3 linked regions of the Arabidopsis thaliana genome follow. The protein of the gene in region 2 purifies or fractionates together with the protein of the main gene of each other region. This does not show direct contact. Each region holds a gene or a part of one and is shown on either strand. Other genes may lie near its edges.

What was found. Proteins that work in one complex are often made in the same cells at the same time.
Region 1: the proteins of EIF3G2 (region 2) and EIF2 fractionate together in Arabidopsis thaliana (co-fractionation; one large-scale study listed by BioGRID). This does not show direct contact.
Region 3: the proteins of EIF3G2 (region 2) and TIF3C2 fractionate together in Arabidopsis thaliana (co-fractionation; one large-scale study listed by BioGRID). This does not show direct contact.

What each region holds. Positions count from the first base shown.
Region 1 is NC_003071.7:16,696,931-16,702,236, forward strand, and holds EIF2 (eukaryotic translation initiation factor 2), read right to left. Parts: upstream 3,380-5,306; 5' UTR 3,000-3,379; coding exon 2,754-2,999; intron 2,570-2,753; coding exon 2,490-2,569; intron 2,342-2,489; coding exon 2,112-2,341; intron 1,885-2,111; coding exon 1,763-1,884; intron 1,681-1,762; coding exon 1,567-1,680; intron 1,492-1,566; coding exon 1,402-1,491; 3' UTR 1,111-1,401; downstream 1-1,110. Other genes in the region: HSPRO2 (ortholog of sugar beet HS1 PRO-1 2), read right to left, coding at 3,719-5,026.
Region 2 is NC_003076.8:1,806,080-1,810,791, reverse strand, and holds EIF3G2 (eukaryotic translation initiation factor 3G2), read right to left. Parts: upstream 2,682-4,712; 5' UTR 2,624-2,681; coding exon 2,293-2,623; intron 2,231-2,292; exon of another isoform or gene 2,076-2,230; intron 2,036-2,075; exon of another isoform or gene 1,881-2,035; intron 1,646-1,880; coding exon 1,050-1,645; 3' UTR 936-1,049; downstream 1-935. Other genes in the region: AT5G06010 (uncharacterized protein), read right to left, coding at 529-852; AT5G05990 (Mitochondrial glycoprotein family protein), read left to right, coding at 2,897-3,139, 3,269-3,645, 3,722-3,881; PRA1.A2 (prenylated RAB acceptor 1.A2), read right to left, coding at 4,233-4,336, 4,416-4,487, 4,580-4,668.
Region 3 is NC_003074.8:8,089,544-8,095,172, reverse strand, and holds TIF3C2 (eukaryotic translation initiation factor 3 subunit C2), read left to right. Parts: upstream 1-1,924; coding exon 1,925-1,954; intron 1,955-2,048; coding exon 2,049-3,671; intron 3,672-3,754; coding exon 3,755-4,519; downstream 4,520-5,629. Other genes in the region: AT3G22850 (aluminum induced protein with YGL and LRDR motifs), read right to left, coding at 4,898-5,082, 5,183-5,303, 5,390-5,629.

The DNA of each region.
Region 1 (5,306 bases), on a different chromosome or scaffold from region 2:
GATCATGTGATAATATATCACGGGACCATATATGAATGGGTGGCTCTTTTGGTTACACATATTATCAAAGAGCGTTTTAAGAATTATTTTGGTCTAAAATATGATGTCGATCGTATTGAAAAGTCGAGTGCCCATCCCTAATTCATAAATATAGTTGTAGCTAGTCGTCGAGTATGTGTTTTCTCCGTGTTATGTTTAGTCCGTCTCATAAAATCATGAGAATTATTGCAAATTATCGTAAATTTTCAGGTTTTAAATAAATGTAACCCACAACTACTATGAAAATGATTCGAATATTAATTTATCGGTTAGCACTAATACGTATGATACTACGTCAATGTATAAATAAAGAGAAAAGGCAAAGGCTATGGAGACCAATAACCATAGAGTGAAGGTGGGTGAAGTGGAATGATAAGTTAGATTACTGTGAACAATGTATGCAAGTTGTTCACTTACATCACAAGTGCATGCACGTCTTTAATGTTGACCCATCTACACACCGGCCTACACATATTCTTCTCAAGTTTGATATGTACATGTACTGGTACGGTCGTATATGTCTGTATAACATCGTATGTAGTACGTATGTTGACAGAGAAACAGGCGTATACATTTGCTATCAAAATCCATTCCACAAAAACTCCCCTCATGTTTTTACAACACAAACTAAAATAATCAAGTTTTTAACCACAAAAACTTCAAATACTCGTTCGGATTCAGCGAAATCAGTTTAATGTATTCCGATACATAAACCGTAGCTCTAATTTAGCTTATCAGAAAGACAAAAAAACGGGTAAAAAAATTGATTGTGTTAGTTGTGTAGTGAAAGCAGGAAATGAAAAAATTGCTGAATGATTTCAATCGCAAATGTTGTGTAATATTTAGATATTAACTTCCAATAGTGTCTATTATATGCCAAAGTTAGCATTATTATATGCAACCGCAAATCGCAAATTGTTTACAATTTAGAAGTTAGTTTCCAATAGTGTCTATTAAGCCTGTTTTGTAAGATCCTACATAGGCCAATCGCAATACGGCAAAAGAGAAAGCAGTAATTCTAGGCTTCTATACTCTTTCAATGTAACATAGCTAATAGAGAGAGACCATGATCCAAAATTCTGAGCATAAATATCTCCAGTGATAAAGATTAGGCGCAACAAGTGGCAAATAAAAAAAGAACAAAGCTCATTTATATGTATATTGTTTAAAATTAGGCACACCAACTAAAAATCCCTTTTAAAGACCTTAATTCACGAAACAGAGCATTTTGTCTTTCTTAAACTTGCAATTTAGGAACACTACAACAAGAAGCTGATTCTTACATAAACTTGTTAAAAGAAAATTCGAAACCAAAAAAGCAGCATTCCCCATTTTTAGCAAAACCTTGTGTTTCCAAGCTTATTATAGCATTTGAGCAGCTGTGTTTAGCTTCTCCGCTAGACTCAACTGTGTCCTTGTTATGCTTGATAGGTACAACAGAAGCAATTGGTCCTGAAATAACAGAAGAAACAACCATTAGTTTTTTACAAAGTGTTTTGCTTTGGCTTGAAATTTACAATCTTTTACCTGGAGACTATCATTCACGAGGTTATCGAAGACTTGTGGAGGTAACTTGGGAAGGGAGGCTACTGCATCTGCAATGAATCGTCCAATGTTGTTGTCTGGAGCTATTTGACCTCCCTGGGAAATTTCATTAAAACTCTGTATCAAAGATCATGTATCTATGGTCGATAATAGACAGTCAAGGATATCATAAGCTTACCACGACACTGTCAACATATTTGTAGACATCGTTGATTAGAGTTAACAGCCTCTCCATTGTTAACTCCATTCCTTCCAAGTCATTTGGGAGTTTGTCAACAGATGTTGCCTTAAGTACATCGACTGTGGATCAAAATGATGTTTTTAAATCAGTCACAATCATTAATCTACTGAACAGACACAACCAAAGATCATCTATTCCCGTTGGTTCATTCACAATCATTAGGGAAACAATCTCTAGATACTGAATCAACCATGCAGAAACTGAACTACTTAGACAATTGAGGAATGAGGACTGTTATGTATTTTGAATATAGAATTGGTTACTAATAAAAGGATAGAATACTCACATCCGACTCTCTCAGCATCAACCATGCGGAGATCAACAGGAATCTCTTGAAAATGTGCAACGAGTTGTCGATCACCGAGTGAGAGGTTTGAAGAGACAAAAGCTTTGATAGTACCCTCACCATTAGTAAACCCAGTATCCACAGTTAGGTGAATTGGGTTGGGTACTTCTCTAGCATAGAAATCATGAATCAGCGAACTACCGCCATTAACCCCAGCACCAGTTGAATACCTGCAAATCAATAAACTTGTTCAATCAACTATTCCAAAATGAGAAACTACCTAATGCAGTGTTCCAACACAGCTACAAGAATCATGTGACAAAGATATGAGACTAATCATGAGAGTATAAGAGAATAAGAGTGGGAAACGAGAAGTACCAGCCGACAATAGTTTCCTTTGAATTCACCTTAAGGTGTGAAGCTAACATATTGTGGTGGTAATCAATATCCACAGCAACCTGCATCCATATCAAACCATAACCCTCAAAACTTATCACAAGTCACAACCTTGGGGTATGAAGCTAACACTACTCCTATAAACATTCACATCCTAACAAGCAAATCTTCAGCTACGAAAGATCTAGGATCTCCAACGATAGAGAATCGAGAGAGAGGAGAAATTTAGAGATCAAAATTTCGAACCTGATCGGATGATTCATTGTGAGGGACGGCGTATGAATTGCGGATATCGACGGTTCCGTCAGGTAAGATAGATCCGAGGAGAGTTCCGATGACTCGTTCAGCTGAGTCAGGACGTCTCACGAAGCAATCACAGACGTTAAAGATAACGAGAGGGTGGATCCTCGCCGTGAGTACAGAGGTTGTAGCGGACGCCGTTGATGACGGAGACACAAATTGCAAGATGGTGTGCTCGCTCGTCGCCGCCATGGTTAAGATTCTGAGAAGGGGTAAAAGGCGCGAGAGAGTGGAGATTTAGGGTTTCCGATGTGAGCGTCAGAGGAAGGTAGGAGAAGGCATCAATGATACAGAAGATAGGTTATGTGCCAGTGGGCCTACAAACAGGCCCATTAAATGTTTTTCTTGGACTAATGAATGAATACTCATTCAAACACTTCCCTTCTTTCTCTTAATGAAATTTGTTGAACACAAAAAACAGAGAAAGGCAATGTCGTTTTATACATCGGTTTGGTTACTCATCGTCGGTTTGGGTTTTTTATAACGTTTTTGTGTGTGTGTTTATCATTGAATTTTGAATATTATACACTGTGAAAGTGAAATTGTGTTTTTCTCATAATTTAACATCTACAAAGGATAGGTGTGAAATTGTGTTTTTCTCATACACTAACATCTACGAAGGATAGGTGGTGATTTGTTGACGATTAGTCAGAGCATATAGATTAGTCGTTACTCGTTAGTAGACCACCCATATTTGAATTACGACTTGTGGATAATTCAAAGTATGGATTACGATATTCGTAAATGTTATCGTTTGTTAAAAAATCTCATAAATCATATAAAAATGAATTTGTATTCAAATATGGATCGTCAAATGTTCCAAAAATTTCACTATCTTACAAACTAAATTAAACCAAACCACCAATTTAAATTTATATTAAATAATTATACCAGCAGAAATTAAAATTTAATCATCCCAAATGACTCCAAAACTCTCCCAGAAACGTCTTTGCCGCGTCAAGGCTCGGGAAATACGTCGGCTCCATAAATATCTGACTCAGTGAGTCACACGACTCTTGACTCGCCGTCGCGTTCATCTCCGCACTTCCCATCATAGCCGCCACTAACTGCCTATACCCAAAGAAGAAACTCTTCGCCGCCGCTTCCACCGCTTGCATCCCCTGAAGCAAATGAATCTTATCGCACTCTGTCTTCCTCGCGTAAAGCTTCATCGCCGCCTCTTGTAATCTTGGTCCTCCGGTTGGATCTACCTCAACCGCCAAGACCGCCGGTACTTTCTGTCTCAGATCTTTCGACATCTTCATCATCTCCACTAATCCTTTAGATCTGAAACAAAACGCATCGTTTTTACCCGTCGATTTGATCTGTAACTGTTTCTTCAATTTCAAAAAATCTTCCGGATCCATCAACATATGAAGATCTTCAATCTCCGCTAAAATTTTCCAGATCTTCTCCAGCAAGTAAACATCGTTTGAAGCTTTTCCGAATTTCTCTTCTTCGATACTTGAGACGATTCGATTCAGAAGATTTCCAGATGCGTAGATCCACGATTCGAGGATCTGGTGAATGATATAGAGAGTTTGATTCTCGTGATTATCGATATGATCTGCGTATGGATTATCCTTGAGGCTATAGATCTCGTTTGGTCGGCAAATCGCATCGTACCGGAGATTTGGTTTTCCGGCGATGTTTTGTTCACCGAGTCCGAGCGTGTACTTACACCGACTCATCTCGTTATCGATCGTATATAAGATCTTCTTCCCCAAAGCCTCTGATCTCCTCCACGTAGCTAGCTGCGGTAACAAACTCAACGAACTCCGTCCACCGCCGACCGGAGCCTCCGCTGATATACCTTCTTCTTCTTCATCTTCGCAGATCGCTGCTACAAGCTGGATCTGCTTCGTGATGAGAGAATCTAGCCTCCGGTTCCATTCACGGTGGTTGATGTACGGTCTAGTATCAGAACAAACGGCGAAAACTAATCTGAAACTGATCTCCAAAGCTTGAAGAGCTGGTTTGAGAATCGGCTCTGATGTCCATTGAGGAAAATCACGAGATGACCAGAGCTTTCTTAGCTCAGGGAGACGAAGGTAAAGCTCGTAAGCAGAGCAAAGAGCAGGTGCTGAACATGAGATCGGAGATGAAACAGGGACGATTTTGAACGGTGATGGAATAGTTACGTGAAGCTTTGAAGAAAGCTTAGGTGAGTTTGGTAAATCTGATGATACCATCTTCCTCTTCCAATCCATATCAACCATTTTTATTTTTTTAAGGTCTGTGTTTTTTTTGGTGTGTGTGTTTGTGTTTGTGTGTTAAATTTTGAATTTGAGGATGAGTTTAGGATACGAGGAGAGTATATATAGAGAGAAATGTGGATAGAGGATGGGGACGAGAAAAAAGGCGTGTGGAATAATACCGACGCGACTGATTTGAAAGTCAGCGTAGAAACGCGGTCTCCTTTTTAAAAAAAAAAAAAACCAGTACTGTGGATTAATTTCAGGATAATCTTTTTTTCGTTTTTTGGCTTTATATTGCTTT
Region 2 (4,712 bases):
ATTGAAGATCTCTTTATTTTTTTAGTATAGTAAAAGTTCATGATTAATTTAGTGTTTTCATATATTCTTCAAAGAATTAAATTGTCTCAGATTAACAAGTTTAAAGAAAAAAACTTTGTCAAAAAAAAAAAAAACTATGATTTCTAAAACCGGCTATCCGTTTAAATTTTATAAAACCCATTAGGCCCGCGGGTTTAAACTTTGTTCCATGTTGGATATAGTTTAAATTTTGTAAAACTATAATTTTGTAAAAACTATGTTCCATATTGGATACAGTTCCGGCTCAATTCATTTTTGGACCTTTGGCAAAACTCAAAATAAAATATAATTATTTTGGTAAAATTAGGGCCTTTTAGTCTTAACAATTTTTTCTGAAACTTGTTCAAGAGATGTTAAAGTGATTAAAATATTCGATATTGTACAAGTACTAGCATTTTGATTTATATTTTCTTGTGTTAATGAACGAATTATGAATGTGTTTAGGTCCAATCATAAAACGTTAGTTTCATTATACTAGACAAGTAGTTGCTAAGCTTTGGGGTGATTGTTCTTATGATCCCAACGAAAGGTTTCAAAAGCAAACTTTCTCTTGTCAGCTAAATCGCCAGGGACTGTCATGATTCCGTAAGTCGCTAAGAGCATATCGATTGTCTCTTCGCTCATTTTCTCATAGTCTTCTTTTTTGTAACACGGATAGAGAAGAGGCATCTCAGACGAAGGTGGTGGTAATGGCTGCTGTGGTTGCGATTTTCGGATCAATTGCGGTGGTGACTGTTGAGGCTGAGGTACAGCAGCAATCTCCTCTTTCGGATTGGTTGAAGAAGAAGAGCCTTTCGAGTCCTTGTTTCCCATCTCTTTGAATTTGATGATATTCACTTGATTAATTGCCCTTACTTGGTCCTTCCCTTATGATCATTTCTAAGTAACATGCTTGCCGTAATAAAGAGAGTTTTATTACTTTTTTTGCACGTATTCAACCGAAATACATTTAGTAGGAACTTGCATACGAGACCCCAACATGAATTACTATGTATCGCGAGAACTTATAATCATGAATGACATATATTCAACAACTTACAAAGATTATTATAATCAGCGAATGAAAACGGATCTAATTGGGTTTTAGGAGTGGACCATTCAACCCTAAGAATGAGGTTATCATAACCATAGCCATTCAATTTGTTGATTGCTCGCTGTGCATCTTCCCTGCTCACAAAACTGACAAAACCAAATCCTCTGCTCATGCTTGTCTTCTGATCAATGGCTACATGACAACGGGTTACAGCACCAAACGGACGAAACAACTCCATCAAATCTGGTCCACGGGTATCTTCAGACAAATTAGTCACACGGACAGAGTTCTCATCATGTCTACTCCTCATGTCTGAACCACCAGCTTTTCTGTCTGCACCTTCTCTCATGCTTGGCGGGACATAAGCCGCCCTGCCAGTTCCAGTTATGGTCGATGTAGAAGTTTCTGCTGTTAAAGGCTCGTCCATTAAGGATAAGAGATCCTTCTGTGGGCATCTTGATGTCCAGTGGTCACCTTTCTTTTGGCATAACCTGCAGACCATGAGGACCGCACCCGGTTTGCCCAACTGAGACATGCTATCTCCTGATACGGTCGACTGTTCCGCGTTGCTACCTGAGATATTCAAAAGAATAAACATCTTAAAACCTCAAAATAATACTACCCTTTAAGATGGTAATGCAAAAACTAAAAATGTAGTTGGCAGCTATAAAGTGAAAGCAGAAATCTACTTTCGTGCAAGAAGCCACCAACAAAACATCTAGGTGGGCATTACGGCCACCCACATATAGAACAATATGGCTGACTAACGTGTCCACCTATAAAGAAACTTATGTAAAAATGAATACTTGAATGTGTACAGTTAATAGCCTAGAAAAGAGAACACAGAATTTGTCCACATTCAGAAAAGGCTACCAACAAGATACTTATATTGGTGACATACTGACCAATCACAGAAAGAAGCAGCCATATATGGCTAATATGTGATCGGCTAATTGGGCACCTTTGTTATGTTACACAGTTACAAAAAAAAAACTTGAACCAAAGATATAGTTGATGATCCATAACCAAAAACTGGGTTAAATCCTGTTCTAGTGTTGAAACGAATCACCAACGACATTGCTATAGGTGTGCTTACTGACCATTCACACAAACAGTAGCCATAAAGCTAACATGTGACTGGCTAATTAGCCACCCTAATCAAAACAGAGCATAATAACAACGAATCCTAACAAACTAAAATGCAAAGTTGAAGATTTTACCAGGAGCTCTAATTCGTTCCAAGATGATATCCTCTGTTGAACGCATTGTGAGGTAACTACTGGATTCTTCATGAGCTGCGTCTCCGAACTTATTCCAGCTCCGTCGCTCCACGGCTTGTTTGGTGAGAGCTCGCTTCTGAACACGGGTCGTGGTAGTGATTTTGACCTTTTTGTCCTCTTCGTTGAATTTGTACTCAATCACCTTCTTTACACCGTTCTGGTCCGGACTAATCATCTGCTTAGGCGGAAGAAGGAAATCATAGTCGCCTTCTTCTTCGTCAATTTCTCCCCACCGAAGCTTTTTTGTTTTTTGTATCGTATCAATCGCCATTTTTCTCAGATTTAGATATGCCGCTTATTAAGTTCGTTAGTTTAGTTTAAAAGGCAACAACTAAAGACAGAAGCAAACTAGGGTTTCGGATTATGGAAACGGTCTCTTAATGTCGTAATGGGCCACTAGGCCCATATTGGCCCGTATTTTTAGCCGGTCCTGATTTTCTGTGATTTTTAATTTAAGTCCCGCTAAATTTGTAATTTGCTATATTAAACCCTAAAGGGAAATAAAAACCCTCACTCTTCCAATTTGAGCTTCAACACAAAAAAAATGGCGACTCTTGTACGTCGCGCAGCTTCTCGGTTTGTGGGAAGTTATTGGAAAAACCGTTCTTTCGTTTACTCATTGTTGGACCAGTCCGCTTCTGGCCGGAGGCGACATCTGACGCCGTCGGTTGACCGGAATGTTCCATTTACCACATCGACCAAAAAGAGAGCTTCTCCAACTGATCCGCTTCTTCGAATCATTGAAGAGGAGATTGGATACGCCGAGAAAGCTGATGATTATCATCGAGTAAATCCTTACCATTTTCATGTTTTAGTTTCTGCAAATTTTGTTTATTAAGATTTATGTGTTTCGTGAAGCTCTGTTTCAATGGCAATGGTGTGTAATCTCTCTGTTTCTTCTTTTGTTTGAATAAAGGTTGAAGAAACTCCAAGTGGCTTCCCTTTCGAAATGGAAGACAAACCAGGAGGGAAGATTGTGACATTGACTAGAGAATATGAAGGAGAGACTGTTAAAGTTGAAGTACACATGACTAATCTTGTGACTGGTGACAAAGAAGATGATGAAGATGATGAGGAAGAAGCAGAGAATGAAGAAGATGAAGATGAGGATAAGCCATTGAAGCCTAAGCAATCGAATGTGCCTCTCTTAGTAACTCTTTCCAAGAAGACAGGACCAAGTTTGGAATTTAGATGTACTGCTTTTCCAGACAGGATTGCGATCAAGGACATGTGGGTTACATTTCCTGATGATCCTTCCAAAGATGAGCTTGCTTATGAAGGACCTTCCTTCAGGTAATAGAAGAAAAAGTTTTAAGCTTTTGATGTTACCAGAATCAAAGCGATGATCTTTGATGGTTTCTTTCTGCAGGGTTTTGGATGAAAAGCTAAGGAAGGCTTTCCATAGGTACATTGAGATTAGAGGGATAAAGCCGAGCATGATCAACTTCTTGCACGAGTACATGATCAACAAGGATAGTAGAGAGCACTTACTGTGGTTGAAATCTCTCAAGAACTTTGTCAAGTATTGAAATAAGAAAACAATGTTATTTTCCGATGCTCTTTGTCTTCCAAATTTTGTACTTGAAACACCATTCAATTATGTTTGGATCTATTTATATAAAAAAAGAGTATTGTGAGACAGTGAGAAAAGTATAAACATCACTACACCAATTAGAAGTAACTTGGTCAAGTATGTCCACTATTTCAAGTGAATCTATTCTGTCTGCTATCGAACTGCCAATAACCATCTTAACCATGTAAAAATAGAGCTACATCTGCCATCATAAGAATAAACTGCGAACATGGTTGAGGGAAAGCATCCCCTCACTTGTCAGATGACTGTTTTGTTTGTTTCTAGATTGTGTAGCGCGACCTGTGACTTAAAGTTCACTGTAGTTACGCCAGACAGCCCGGAATTCTTCACGGAATGTGTTTAAGCGTGCCTTGAGATTTGGGGTTCTTATGCTTGCATGAACAATGATCACTGTGGAGAAAAAATGTTAAGGTCAAAACATAAACTCCATCAAAGGACATCTATGATCAAACAGGAGGAATAACTTTACCAGCAAGGGAAGTGAGAAGTGCATAGAGGACCCACAACAAACCGCAGGAAGAAAACCACATGACAAGACTGGCTATATATACATGAGAAAATTAACACATTGATCAGTTTTTAACACCAATATTACATTAACTACATAAAGAGGAATTATGAGTATTCAAGTACCTGTAAGGAAAGTAATAACGAATACCCATCGCGGTTTCCCACAAACGTATACTGTCTTTCTTGCTGTCGATCTTCCACGGATGACAGGCCTGCAGTGATCACATATTAAATAAAATTACAAATGTAACTACGA
Region 3 (5,629 bases), on a different chromosome or scaffold from region 2:
TGCCTCCAATAAGAAGATTATTTAAATATCTATCCAAAAAATACTGTCCAATATTACAAGGACTGTAAATCATAAAGATAATTTAGTGTACATGTAGACCTTCATTTGCTCATTAGAATTTTTTTTCAGTTTGGGGATCTTTCAATGATTGGGATGCAGGAAGCCTCTCCAAAATGTTCTGATTGAGTTGAAGTAGAAATGAAGATGGTCAGAAAAACCATAAGAAACACGACCTTCAATAAGGAAAAAATGTAAGAAAGTATCCAAAAAATCATGTCCAACGTAACAAGGAGTAGACGATTAATAAAATTTGGTACCCCATTGTAGGTTTGTTGACTTGGATGTTCCCACTTGTATCGAAAATAGGATCTGACACAATGTTCCTAACCTAAATTTTGTTTTTAAAGTAAATTAGTCAAGTAATGACTTGCAAACTAAGGTGGGGTTTTAAAGTAAGGAGTGTCCAAACAACAGTACCTTCATGTTTGCGTATGAATGGACAAATTTCTTTGGATGACATCAATAACGATGATCACATGATGTGCAAAAGCAAGTCTAACTGATGTATTCACCCACTCGCCTAAAGAAATTAACAAAGTTAAAAGTTTGATATTATGTACTCTAAGGTTTTCTATTGACTAATCACATTATAATGACCAATTATATCAACACAAATGGATAAGTCAAATTACTCTTTTACAACTTAATACCAGACAATCAATGTTGAGTAGCAGTAAGAACAAAGTTAAATCAATATCCTAATCTGGCCATAGGATCACCTAAAGCTCTAGCATCCAAGCTTACATATTATTTCTTAAATCAATGATTTGATTTCTTCCAAAATGTAAGATTAAGAAATAGAACCTTTATATGGCTTTTTCCTTGAATTATCAAACACCAAGCTGTGCAGTCATGTATGGTCGTGGACAATGATTTTCAATTTTGTAACGACACATACGCTGCAAACAAAATGTGTGGTTGTCCATTACGGATTGTCCAAGTGTTGTAGTCCATATGTTCATCTTCTGTCCAATAGAGAACCTCAAGTACTGAATTTCAAACAAACTGGGCAGAGAAGTTATCAAACATTATCACAGAATTACGAACAAGATCTCCGAAGTCAACATGACAAAACTTTACCTTAGTTGTTCCGAAATTCTTGAACTTTTCTCGAAGTAACCTCAATTGAAATTGAAATTGAGTTTGGACAGTACGAGTTAAGAGATTTTCAGGCAAAGTAAATCCAAATCGATTTAAGAAATTGCAGAGATTTAGAGGAAATGACAAGAGAATTGGGTTTGGTGTTTTACGGTTGAAAGAGCAAACGAGAGTGTAGTGTGAAAAGCAGTGGTGGTGGACAGTGACGGAGGAGATGGATATCCCGTCGCCGGAGTCCCCTTTTCGAGAAATTGTAATTTAGGATTTTTTATTGGATTTGGATTTTTACGATTCTGGAAAAAAAATTTAAATCACAAAGGCAACTACAAAATCGTGGACTCCATAAATCTGAATTGGTTTAGTGAAAATAGATTTGATTTGTTTGGTTATAGAAAACCGACGATACGAGGGTGAACAAGTAATTTTAATTATTCAAAGTGCCTAATGATTTTTAAGTGCCTAATTACGGATAAACTTTCAAAAAAGTGTCTAATCACGTAATATTCTCTTATAGTAAACCCTAATTCGCCTCTCTTCTTAACGATTCGTTATTCTCTAGTCAAGCATCTCCATCGTCTCACATCAATCTCTCCATCGTCTCAAATCAATCAAAGGTAATTTCATTCTTCTTCATCTTTCCTTGAACAAATTTTAGGTTCGAGTTTTTTGTTCTTCATCTATGTTTTGTGTCCCCCCTGCAATTATATCTCCATCGTCTCAAAGTTTTATATTTTGATGTATCAGGTTCTTCTCCTTGCTAACGAAGATGACGACGACTTCTCGTTTTTTCGCTCAGGTTTCTTTCCATAGACCTTTGTTTACTTATCAAAACCTATATTTTTTTGTAACAGTTTCTTAATGCTTTTTCTTTGCTTATGTTTCGTTTACAGAGTGGAAGTGAAAGTGAAGATGAGAGTGACTTTGAAAAAGAAGAGGTTGAGGGTAACAACACTCGTTACCTTGCAGACTTACCTGACGGTGAGATTTGTTGTGGTATGGATACTAAACGTGTGGTTAAGCCAAAAAAAGATAAACGTTTTGAGGAGATGGCCAACACTATAGAGAATATGAAGCATGCCATGAACATCAATGATTGTGTTTACTTGCAAGAAACGTTTGAGAAACTCAACAAACAGATTAGTAAGTCCGTAAAGACTCCGACTTTGTATATCAAGACCCTTGTGATGTTGGAAGATTTCTTGAATGAAGATAATATGAAAACAAAGGAGAAGATGAGTACTAGTAACTCCAAGGCTTTGAACGCAATGAGACAGAAACTGAAGAAGAACAATCTGCAGTACCAAGAAGATATCAAAAGATTTAGGGAGTCTCCAGAAATCGAAGACGATGATGAGTATGAAGAGGAGGTGGTGGAGGATTCTGCTGATAATGTTTCTTGGGAGATGTTGTTTAGTTTAGATCATGAAGAGATAACTTGGAACATGGTCAACAAGAAGTTCAAAGAAATTAGGGCTGCTCGTTGGAGCAAAAGAAGAAGTTCTAGCCTTAAACTCAAACCCGGCGAGACTCATGCGCAGAAGCATATGGACTTGACAAAGATCGCCAAGACTCCTGCACAGAAGGTTGAAATCTTGTTTAGTGTTATTTCAGCAGAGTTTAATGTGAATTCTGGTGGTCTCAGCGGATACATGCCTATCGATGTCTGGAAGAAATGTGTGGTTAACATGCTTACCATACTTGACATTCTTGTCAAGTACTATAACATTGTTGTGGATGATACCGTTGAACCTGATGAGAAGGAAACTTCAAAGCCAGCGGCATACGATGGAACCATTCGGGTCTCGGGAAATTTGGTTGCATTCTTAGAGAAGATTGAGACAGAGTTTTTCAAGAGTTTGCAGTGCATTGATCCTCACACCAATGATTATGTTGAGAGGTTGAAAGATGAGCCTATGTTCTTGGCTCTTGCTCAGAGTATCCAAGACTACTTGGAGCGGACAGGCGATTCTAAAGCTGCTTCAAAGGTAGCCTTTATACTAGTCGAGTCAATCTATTACAAGCCTCAAGAAGTTTTTGATGCTATGAGTAAATTGGCTGATGAGGAAATTGAGGAGGCTAACGAGGAAAGTGGATCTTCTTCTTCTTCATTCATTGTTGTTGCGGAGATTGTTCCTCGTAAGCCTACCTTCGCAAAGAGCAGCAGAGCTATGATGGATACACTTGTATCCTTTATCTACAAAAATGGAGATGAGAGGACCAAAGCCAGAGCAATGCTATGTGATATCTATCAACATGCTTTAATGGACAATTTTGTTACTGCTAGAGACTTGTTGCTGATGAGTCATCTACAAGAAAACATTCAACACATGGACATCTCTACACAGATTCTCTTTAACAGGACAATGGCACAACTTGGTCTTTGCGCTTTTCGGGTTGGAATGATAACTGAGTCACATAGCTGTCTCTCTGAGCTGTACTCTGGGAATAGAGTTAGGGAGTTGCTTGGTCAAGGTGTCTCGCAAAGTCGAGACCACGAGAAGACAACAGAGCAGGTAAATATTGACCTTATAGAACATATTATGTTCTTTTTCATTTTAGTAGAGTCTAATTTCTCTGTTTTTTGTTTTAACTATAGATGCTTATGGAGAGGAGAACACAAATACCGTACCATATGAACATAAACCTCGAGCTCTTGGAGGCTGTTTATCTTACTTGTGCCATGCTACTTGAAGTCCCAAACATGGCAGCAAACTCGCATGATTCCAAACACAAACCGATTAGCAAGAATATTCAGCGCCTGCTCGAGAAAAGTGAGAAGCAAGCGTTCACTGCACCCCCTGAAAATGTACGTGTCCATGTCATTGCAGCCACCAGAGCCCTGATCAAAGGAAACTTCCAAGAAGCGTTTTCAGTTTTGAACTCTCTTGATATCTGGAGACTGTTCAAGAACCGCGACAGCATACTCGATATGGTGAAAGCTAGTATCAGTGAAGTGGCTCTAAGGACTTATTTATTCACATACTCGAGCTCCTGTTACAAGTCCTTAAGTCTAGCTGAGCTAGCCAAAATGTTTGACATCTCTGAGTCACACGTCTATAGTATTGTGAGCAAGATGATGATCAACAAGGAGCTTAATGCAACATGGGACCAGCCAACTCAATGCATCGTCTTCCATGAAGTGCAACATAACAGAGCACAATCCTTGGCTTTTCAGATTACCGAAAAACTCGCGACTCTAGCAGAAAGCAACGAAAGTGCAATGGAGTCTAAAACTGGTGGTGTTGGCCTTGATATGACTTCAAGGAGAAGGGAAAACAGTCAGGACTATGCAGCAGCAGCATCAGACAACAGAGGTCTGAAAATGGATGGCTCAAGTCTTACCCGAGGCGTTTCTGCGTAAAGAGAATGTGGAGAAATCTGCAGGCAGTGTTAACCTTAGGCTCTTACTAAGAGTCTAAGACCTGTCATTATGTTTCATTACAGTTTTAGGTTTTGTTTTGTTACCAAAGGTTGTTTATGAATTGTTATTGTTGGAGCTCATGTTCTTGCAGCTCTGGTTTTATCAATATGACATCATATGCATACACTGGAATCATTAGACGTTTATAAAATATTTTATTCTTAGCTTCCTTGTTACCAAGTACAGGTACAATAGCAATAAGAGCACCATTAGTCCTTAGAATGGCTACAGTGAGAATATCAGGAAAAGAGTAAATCTGTGGAACACAGCCACAGGAGTCCAACAAGTAAAAAATAAAACAAGCCTTTTTCAGCTAGTTCAGATTTGTTTAGACCAATTCTGAACACTCCCAACCCTAGGCATCGCTTCTTTCTTGGCCTCAGAATCCACTTTAAACGTTACACCGCAAACCTCACCCGAACTGTCTACCCTTGGTACCGGCTTTAACTCATTTGATGGATGCTCATAGCTCCTCAAACCTCCAGATGAGGTAAAGAAACATCCTGCATTATGCATACACACAACCACATCCTAATTCATATTTGCACTAGATCAAAGAACAGTGAGATGTCTTCAAAACCCGAAAAACGGCTTGCTACATACCTTTAGGGAATGGCGCAAAGGATTTACCACAACCCTTCTTGACAGTCTCAACATCATCAGAAACAACAAGATGTCCTTCAGCATCGGTTCCCCAGTAGAGAGGAACACTCCCATCTACATCCTGAAACGCGTATAATAATAATAACCTCAGCATTACAATATGCAGAAATAAGTGTCAAATAGTAAAGAAGCAGAATTCAAACTTACCCCGGCAAGGAAGACATTTTGTGTGGAGCAGTCATAGAGCATAAACCCGAATTTGCCTTGAAAATCTCTAACAACTTGTTCAGCTGAATACGGACCACGATCTCTTAGAGTTCTGTAGGCTTCAATCACAATGGTAACCTCTGTAGCTGTTTTGGTTAGTCCATATTGTTGCTTAAGAATTGGAACGTTCTCTATATGTCCTTGGAATATGCAGAACATATCATCCACCACAGCAAACAA